Drosophila melanogaster: one gene and its partner. The protein of the gene in region 1 purifies or fractionates together with the protein of each later gene. This does not show direct contact. Each region holds a gene or a part of one and is shown on either strand. Other genes may lie near its edges.

The links. Proteins that work in one complex are often made in the same cells at the same time.
Region 2: the proteins of Tdrd3 (region 1) and Top3beta purify together in Drosophila melanogaster (affinity purification with western blotting; 3 studies listed by BioGRID, with this or other methods). This does not show direct contact.

What each region holds. Positions count from the first base shown.
Region 1 is NT_037436.4:14,785,221-14,788,971, forward strand, and holds the start of Tdrd3 (tudor domain containing 3), read left to right. Parts: upstream 1-1,570; 5' UTR 1,571-1,626; coding exon 1,627-1,661; intron 1,662-1,713; coding exon 1,714-1,798; intron 1,799-1,872; coding exon 1,873-3,751. Other genes in the region: bmm (brummer), read right to left, coding at 699-858.
Region 2 is NC_004354.4:6,286,349-6,290,099, reverse strand, and holds the start of Top3beta (topoisomerase 3beta), read left to right. Parts: upstream 1-2,109; 5' UTR 2,110-2,368; coding exon 2,369-2,459; intron 2,460-2,530; coding exon 2,531-3,278; intron 3,279-3,617; coding exon 3,618-3,751. Other genes in the region: Rpt4 (regulatory particle triple-A ATPase 4), read left to right, coding at 1-45, 175-315, 379-481; wuho, read right to left, coding at 672-1,946. UniProt on the Drosophila melanogaster protein: Releases the supercoiling and torsional tension of DNA introduced during the DNA replication and transcription by transiently cleaving and rejoining one strand of the DNA duplex.

The DNA.
Region 1 (3,751 bases):
AACCATTTGCCCATATATTCGGGTGCCGCTTTACAAAAGTGCGTTGTCCCGGGCATACGAAACTTGTTTTTCTGTTTTCGTAAGGTTTTTCAACTGCGCCGCAGTTTTCTTTTGAGCGGATGGGACGAGCCCCCTTCGAAATTGGACAAACACGCCCAAAAACACACACACACTATCGCAGTCAATTATGAAAGATCCCCATTGACTTCCTAGCGACCTACAAACGCAAACAAGCTTATCAATAAAATTCAATTCAATGCGTTTTATATTGAGCCTCGCAGCATCTTTCGCGCTCTCCCACTCCCACTCGCTCTCTTTCTCACTCCCACTCACAGAGTCACTGAACTGCCCAGTGTGGTTGCTTTTGCACTCAGCTGTTTTGCGAACGCAAGTGTGAGTGTGTTCGTGTGTGTGCATTCTGCACGAAGAGGGGAGAGCAGTAGAGAAAACACCAGAGGGGTGCAGAAAATATTCACAGGGGTTTTCCCAAGCAGAAAACATTGTGCAAAGGCCAAGTTCAGACGCGGAGTGTGAAAAGAAACAAGAAACTTAACAAATTAAGATTTATGCAAAGCAAAATAAAAAATTTATTTTTGTTTCGCCTTGGAGAATCGCTATCATATAGTTGGCAGATCTTAATGATTCCGAAAGCTTCCCTCTCTAGACCCACCCATGTAAGCAAGTGGGAAGAGACTTACCCAATGGCAAATCGCAGAGGAGACAGCAGGCGGCCAGGGAACCGGCCGAAGCGCCTCCGATCTTCTCCAGCAACAGATGCGGTGCATACTTCTTGAAGCAGACGGCCACTCCGACGTGGTAGATGCCCAGGAATCCGCAGCCAGCGAATGATAGATTCATGCTTTGGACTCGGCGTTAGATTCTATAAATCGTTCGATGACTGTTTGTTGTTGTTGCTACTGCGTCACTGGTTTTTTCTCTCTTTAAGGTATTTTCTCGCACTTTCTTCGCGGATTTTAGTCGTTGCAGCTCCTTTGATGTAACAATTTCTTGTCGCGTTTCGAAATAAATCTCGTTTGGGTTTTCAATCACTGTTTGTCGGTCGGCTGGAAAAATTACTCCGCTCTCGAAATGAAAAGTTGTTGCTCGCGAACCGTTATTTACTCGCTCTGCGGATGGCAGCCCCCTTTTATACATTCATTGCGGCGCGGTGTGACCGCATTTTATTCGCTTTACCACCTAAACTAGAACTGTCATTAGAGTGGCTGTGCGTATAGGGTACTCTTTTGTTTGTTCTAAACATGTAGATATTACGACTTTAAATCGATTTATAATGCCAATTCTTTATAACTGATAAAATTTAATTATCGATATATAAGTACATCTATCAAAAATATATATGCTAGTATATGTGTTGCACCCAATTTTGACATTATCTCTTGGGACATAATATATATATTATATTTAATTTGAATAAGTGTGCAAGAAATATTAAAATTTTTAGATTTTAAGAAAGCATTTAATATTACTAAACAACCTAAACTTAAACGATAATAGTATGCACCGTCAGCCGATAGTTGCCGCCAAGCACATCACTAGCGAGTACACACATCTAATACTTTTGTCATCCCTAGTCCGGAGTTGCAAAAAAATCGTCTTCATGAAAAAATGGAATTAGGCAAGAAACTACGAGAAGTCGGGTGGTAAGTACAATTTTAAATTGTGGCATACAATGCTTCTTAACGATTTACGCAGGTACCTGACAGAGGAGGGCCTTAAAATCGTGACAACAGCCGTCGGCAGCGAGGATGTCCGGAAAATAGTCAATGATGCACTGAATGTGAGTTGTAGGCGAACCGGCTGCTCAGCATTCTGTGTAATTATTAATTATAACCTATTACTCACACTTTGCAGCGAGATCTGCGCGATATTGGCGGTGGCGCACTGCCCGCGAAACGCGAAGATGCCACTTTGCCCGGTAAAATTGTGCTGCAGGTTCAGCGTGTGCGAAATATTGCCGCTCCCAAGGCGAATGAGGAATCGAAGGCGGCGCCACGCCTCCTTCAGTTGGATCTGAGTGATGGGCAGAATTCCATAAAGGCCTTGGAGCTGGAGCCAGTTCCCCAACTGAATCTCAATGTGGCTCCCGGAAGCAAGATCTATTTCAAGGCCGAGAAACTGCAGCTTATGCAGGGATTCCTGCTGCTAAAGTCCAGTGAAATTCAGCTGCTCGGCGGCCGTGTGGATGCACTCTACGAGAAATGGGATCTGGCCAGGACCATGATGAGATATGCGCGCAGTGGGCGCCCCTTGAATGGGACATCAGCGCCACCCCCGTGGGTGGCATTTGGCCGAAAAATCGATAGCAACGCCGAAAGCGAAATGAACTTTAAGAGCCTGGGCGAGGGCGACAAGGACAAGCCGGCAAAGGAGAACGAAGAGTTCAATGCCATGCGCACAGAGGCCATTGCCGTGGCCACCAAGGCCGGCGGCAAGAAGATCTTTGGCGGCGGTGGCCAGAACATTATCGATCACAATGTTAAGAAGATCCTAGACAAGGGCTTCAGCGAGGAGGAGGCCCGCAGTGCCTTATCTGCTACCCGAAACAACTTGGAGCGCGCCCTATACAATCTAAAAAGACGCAGTGAAGCTGGCGGTGTGGGTCCGATCGAATCCGTGGGTCGTCCGGGACGCGGAGATCGTCCGCCCAGAGAGGGAAAGCGTGGAGCTAGCGCCAAGGACGAAGTTGAAGCACCCAAGCCGGCTGCCAACACCACGCTGTTTGATTTCCTAACCAATAAACTGCCCGCCAAGGAAACACCGGCCGCTAGTAATGCAGAAACCTTCGCTGCCGCTCCAACTGCCGCTCCGACTGCCCCACCCACTACCAATCACTTCAATCCATTTAAGCAATATGGAAGCTCGCGCTTCAGCGATTCCGAGAGCAAACCTTCAGCTATGGGCGGAGGCGGCAAGTTTGCAGATCGTTCTAGGTTTGAGAACAACGTATCGAGCAGCTTTGCCGCACATCGTGGTGGACATGTGGGTTCGTCGCGAGGCGGTGGCCGTAACCGGGGTGGCGGCAGGGACGAAAGGCCACCAAGAGAGGAGCGAGCCTACAGGGAAGACAGGCCTCCGAGGGAAGAAAAACCGCCGAAAGAGGAGAGACCACCGCGAGAGCGAGGAGCGTTCAATGATCGTGCAGCTGGACGTTACAAACCAGAAACGCCAACCGTAAAAACCGCAAATCGCAATGGCTCGGATAACGTATCGTTGAAACCGAATTCCGAGATTAAGCCAGATCATGAAACAACCAATGGGAAGGACCACACTGGCAACCGACGTGGCAGCGAACGAGGCAGCAATCGTGGAGGCTCCAATCGAGCAGAGAACGGCAACGCCAATGGCAACAGACGAAACAAGCCGGCAGCAAGCTTAACTTCGGCGAGTTCTGCAGCGAAATCGACAAATAGTGCTGGCGATGATTTCAACGCCCGTTTGAGTAAGATAACCGAGGAAACAGCTAATCTCAAGGTGAGCAGTGCGCCAAAGCGAGAGAATCGACGTAAGCAAGGAGGACAAGCCAATCGCCTGGCGGGATCGGGCACAGAAACAACGCAGCAGCAGCAGCCAGCACAGTTGCATTCGCAGAAGCCAGAGAAGGCTCAAACCAACCAAAAGCATCACAATCCCAGGCACAATTCGCAGGCGAACTACAGTCAATTGGCGAATGGCTACACTTACGATCCCAGCAAGATCATGGGTTTCCAGAGCAAGGAGGCCAACGAGTTTG
Region 2 (3,751 bases), on another chromosome or scaffold:
CTTGGACAGGAAGATCGAGATTCCGCTGCCCAACGAGCAGGCTAGGTAAGCTATATTCCCACATTGATTGGCTCTTATCTTTGATGTCTTCTTGGTGAAATATGAATAGGGATTTCTCAGATTAGATACTTACATACTTTGTCATACTGATGGTAAAACCCCAACTCCTTTTAGGTTGGAAATTCTCAAGATTCACGCACTGAAGATCGCCAAGCACGGCGAAATCGACTACGAGGCCATTGTCAAGCTGTCGGACAACTTTAATGGCGCTGATCTGCGTAATGTCTGCACGGAGGCGGGTCTCTTTGCCATTCGGTAAGTGCGAAGTTTCCACCGCTTGATAAGCTCCCTAAAATGTAACTATTCTTGCAAATCCAGTGCGGAGCGGGAGTACGTCATCCAGGAGGACTTCATGAAGGCGGTGCGCAAGGTGTCGGACAACAAGAAGTTGGAGAGCAAGCTGGACTACAAGCCCGTCTAGGAGCCAGTGCTCGCCACCGCCCCCCATAGAGATAACCATACACCATTTACACACATATACAGATATATATATATTATGCCCACAACGGGCCTGTCACACAAAGTCCGTTGCTTCTTCTCCATATGCTAATTAAATGCTATGTAAAGATTAGGTTCATTTAATTTCCTTTGGGTATGTGGGCGCCCGGGGATTAGCCGCACTTCTGCTGCTGCTGCTCCTCGATGCGCCGCTTCTTGCGCTCCAAATAGTCGCTAACGTTGTCGAAGCGCTTCTTAAACCAAACGGACAAGTCCTCGGGAATGAATGGCGGTGCGCCCTCCTCGTTGGCACCCAATCCGTCTAGCACCATCTTCAGCCAGCCCTCGGGCACGCCGCTGCTCGCCGGCTGGCCAGTTGCGATGTCGTAGACGCGCAAGCTTAAGCGTTCGTTCTCTGCGCCGGTGATGTAGATCCGGTCGCTGGTTAAAGTAAAGTTGCTAATGCTCCATGAGCCCGCTTCGGCGCAAACCAGTTGTGTGGCCGTCACGCTCCAGGTGTCATCGGAGCTGCGCTCCAGGCGATACAATCCCAGGGCGTCCACGTGCTCGTAGAAGAGCACCGCCGCCTGGAAGACCTTCTCCGGCTCCAGCTGGCGTACCAATAAACGAACCGCCGGTGCTGGTAGCTCGTGCTGCAGCAGCTCTTTGCCCTGAATGTAGTTCCATACGCGCAAGGTCTTGTCCCCCGAAGCGGAGGCGATATGCTGCTCCGTGAGCAGTGCCAGGCCTGAGACAAACTCCCTGTGGCCCAGGCAATAGCTGTGGATGTCAAAGGTGGCGGGATAGTTGGTCACGCGTATCTTATCATCCCGATCGCAGGTGATGATATGCTGCTGGTCCTCCGACCACAGGATGTCGTATACCACACTTAAATGGCCCAACAGCAGGCGCGGCGGAGCCTCCACCTCAACGCAGTCGTACTGATAGCAATCGCCAGTCTTGTCTGTGACCAGAATGGAGCTGCTGTCGCTGCAGAAGCGCAGGGCACTGGACGCCCGGGCCAGTGGGCGGGCGGAGAGCAGGCGGGCGTTCTCCGGCCGTGAACGATAGAGCAGGAGAGCTTTCTGTTTTCCACTGGTGGTCACGGCCAGCAGCTGTCCGTCTGGCGAGTAGGCCACATTCTGTACCGATGTGCTGGTGGCACATCCCAAACCGGAGGCGCTGGCAGAGGTTCCGCCCTCCTCTGGCTGATTGGCAAGCTGTTGCTCCTTGCCACCCGGTGCCTGACCGGATGCGGCTGTGGCTGTGGATGCGGCTGCTGCGGCTGTACACGATTCCTGCGACTGGGATGTATGGCCTTTCAGGCCAAGGTCGGGCGGCAGCTCGATCTCCTTGAATATCTGCAGGTCGTCGGGGTTCACGAAGAGCACCCTGCGGCCATGGCCGAGCACGATTTCGGGTTCCGCGAACGAAATTGTTGTGCACATTCTTGCGACTCGATTCGATAGCCACCGATAGGTTTGCACAACTACTGACTACTGGTATCGACGAGCGATAAGATCTGCTCACCAGGGCTGCACGCTGCGGTATGACCAATTGATGCATTCGTTAGAATGTAGTGTGACCCTGTTGCTGCCAACGGCAGTGAGACCGTATTATTGGCTGGAAAATAATGCCCGTGAAATTTGTTAAATAGAGGGGATTATACGGATGTATAGCGAGGAAGTCCAATTCATCCATTAGCCCGTGTTCGTGTGCGTTTATGCTGTGCGTGTGCGTTTGTGTGAGTGTGTGTGCAGCACGAAACCGGCGAATCCCATGCGAGTGAACGAGTGGGCAGGAGGAAGCGCTGCAAAAATCTCATCATCAATTATATAGGCCATTGGATTGCGGGACTTGGATTTGGGCCATGAAGAGCGTGCTGATGGTGGCCGAGAAGCCCTCGCTGGCGGCCTCGCTGGCGGGGATTCTCTCAAACGGACGCTGCACGGCCAAGCGTGGTAAGTGCCAGTAGATCAACACGAACTCCCAAACTCAGCAAGCAACCGAAATTGTATGTAATCCTCTCCAGGCACCGGCAACGGCTGCTCCACGCACGAGTGGACGGGCAACTTTCGGAACGAGGGCAGCGTCCACTTCCGGATGACTTCCGTGTGCGGTCATGTCATGTCGCTGGACTTCAATAAGAAGTACAACTGCTGGGACAAGGTGGATCCCATCCAGCTCTTCGGTTGTGCCACCGAAAAGAAGGAAACGAATCCCAAGCAGAACATGCGCAAATTTCTGGCCCACGAGGCGCGCGGCTGTGACTATCTGGTGCTCTGGCTGGATTGCGACAAGGAGGGCGAGAACATCTGCTTCGAGGTGATGGACGCCGTGAAGCATGTCATCAACAATGTGTACAGCGATCAGGTGACATACCGTGCCCACTTCTCGGCTATCACGGAGAAGGACATCAAGAAAGCCATGGAGACGTTGGGGCATCCCAACGAGAACGAGGCCAAGTCGGTGGACGCCCGGCAGGAATTGGACCTGCGCATTGGCTGCGCCTTTACCCGCTTTCAAACGAAGTTCTTTCAGGATCGCTACGGTGACCTGGATTCGTCGCTGATCTCCTACGGTCCCTGCCAGACGCCCACGCTCGGTTTCTGCGTGAAGCGGCACGACGACATCCAGACCTTTAAGCCGGAGAGCTTCTGGCATCTGCAGCTCCTCGCCGGCCAGCCGGAAGTCACGCTTGAATGGGCGCGCGGTCGGGTCTTCAAGAAGGACATCGCCATCATGCTGCTGAATCGCGTCAAGGAGCACAAGAAGGCCACGTAAGACCTAATCATGGCTGCTGTCACTACGGCTAGTCTATAAATAAGCATGCTTTCGTCACTTTTCCGTTTGCTTATAACCACTTTTTGGTCACTCGAAAGACAGCTGACTCTTTTTTTTCCACCCATTACGCCATTCCTTCCAAATCTGGTGCCTACATCATCTATGTATCTGCCAGAGAAGCAATCATGCCGAATTAGCATAATTTCTGTTTGTGTTCATAACGAATGCAAACAAACAAAATGCTGCTGATCCCCAGAATTTAAGAAAGCTCACCAAGAATTGACTATCTTTTCCCTTTCCATCTAGTGACCACTTCCTCTCTTTTCTTTTTTCAGTGTGGAGAGCGTGGCCAGCAAGGAGGCCTACAAGAGCAAACCACAGGCACTGAACACCGTCGAACTGATGCGTATCTGCAGCTCCGGACTGGGCATCGGACCCTTCCAGGCGATGCAGATAGCTGAGCGCCTGT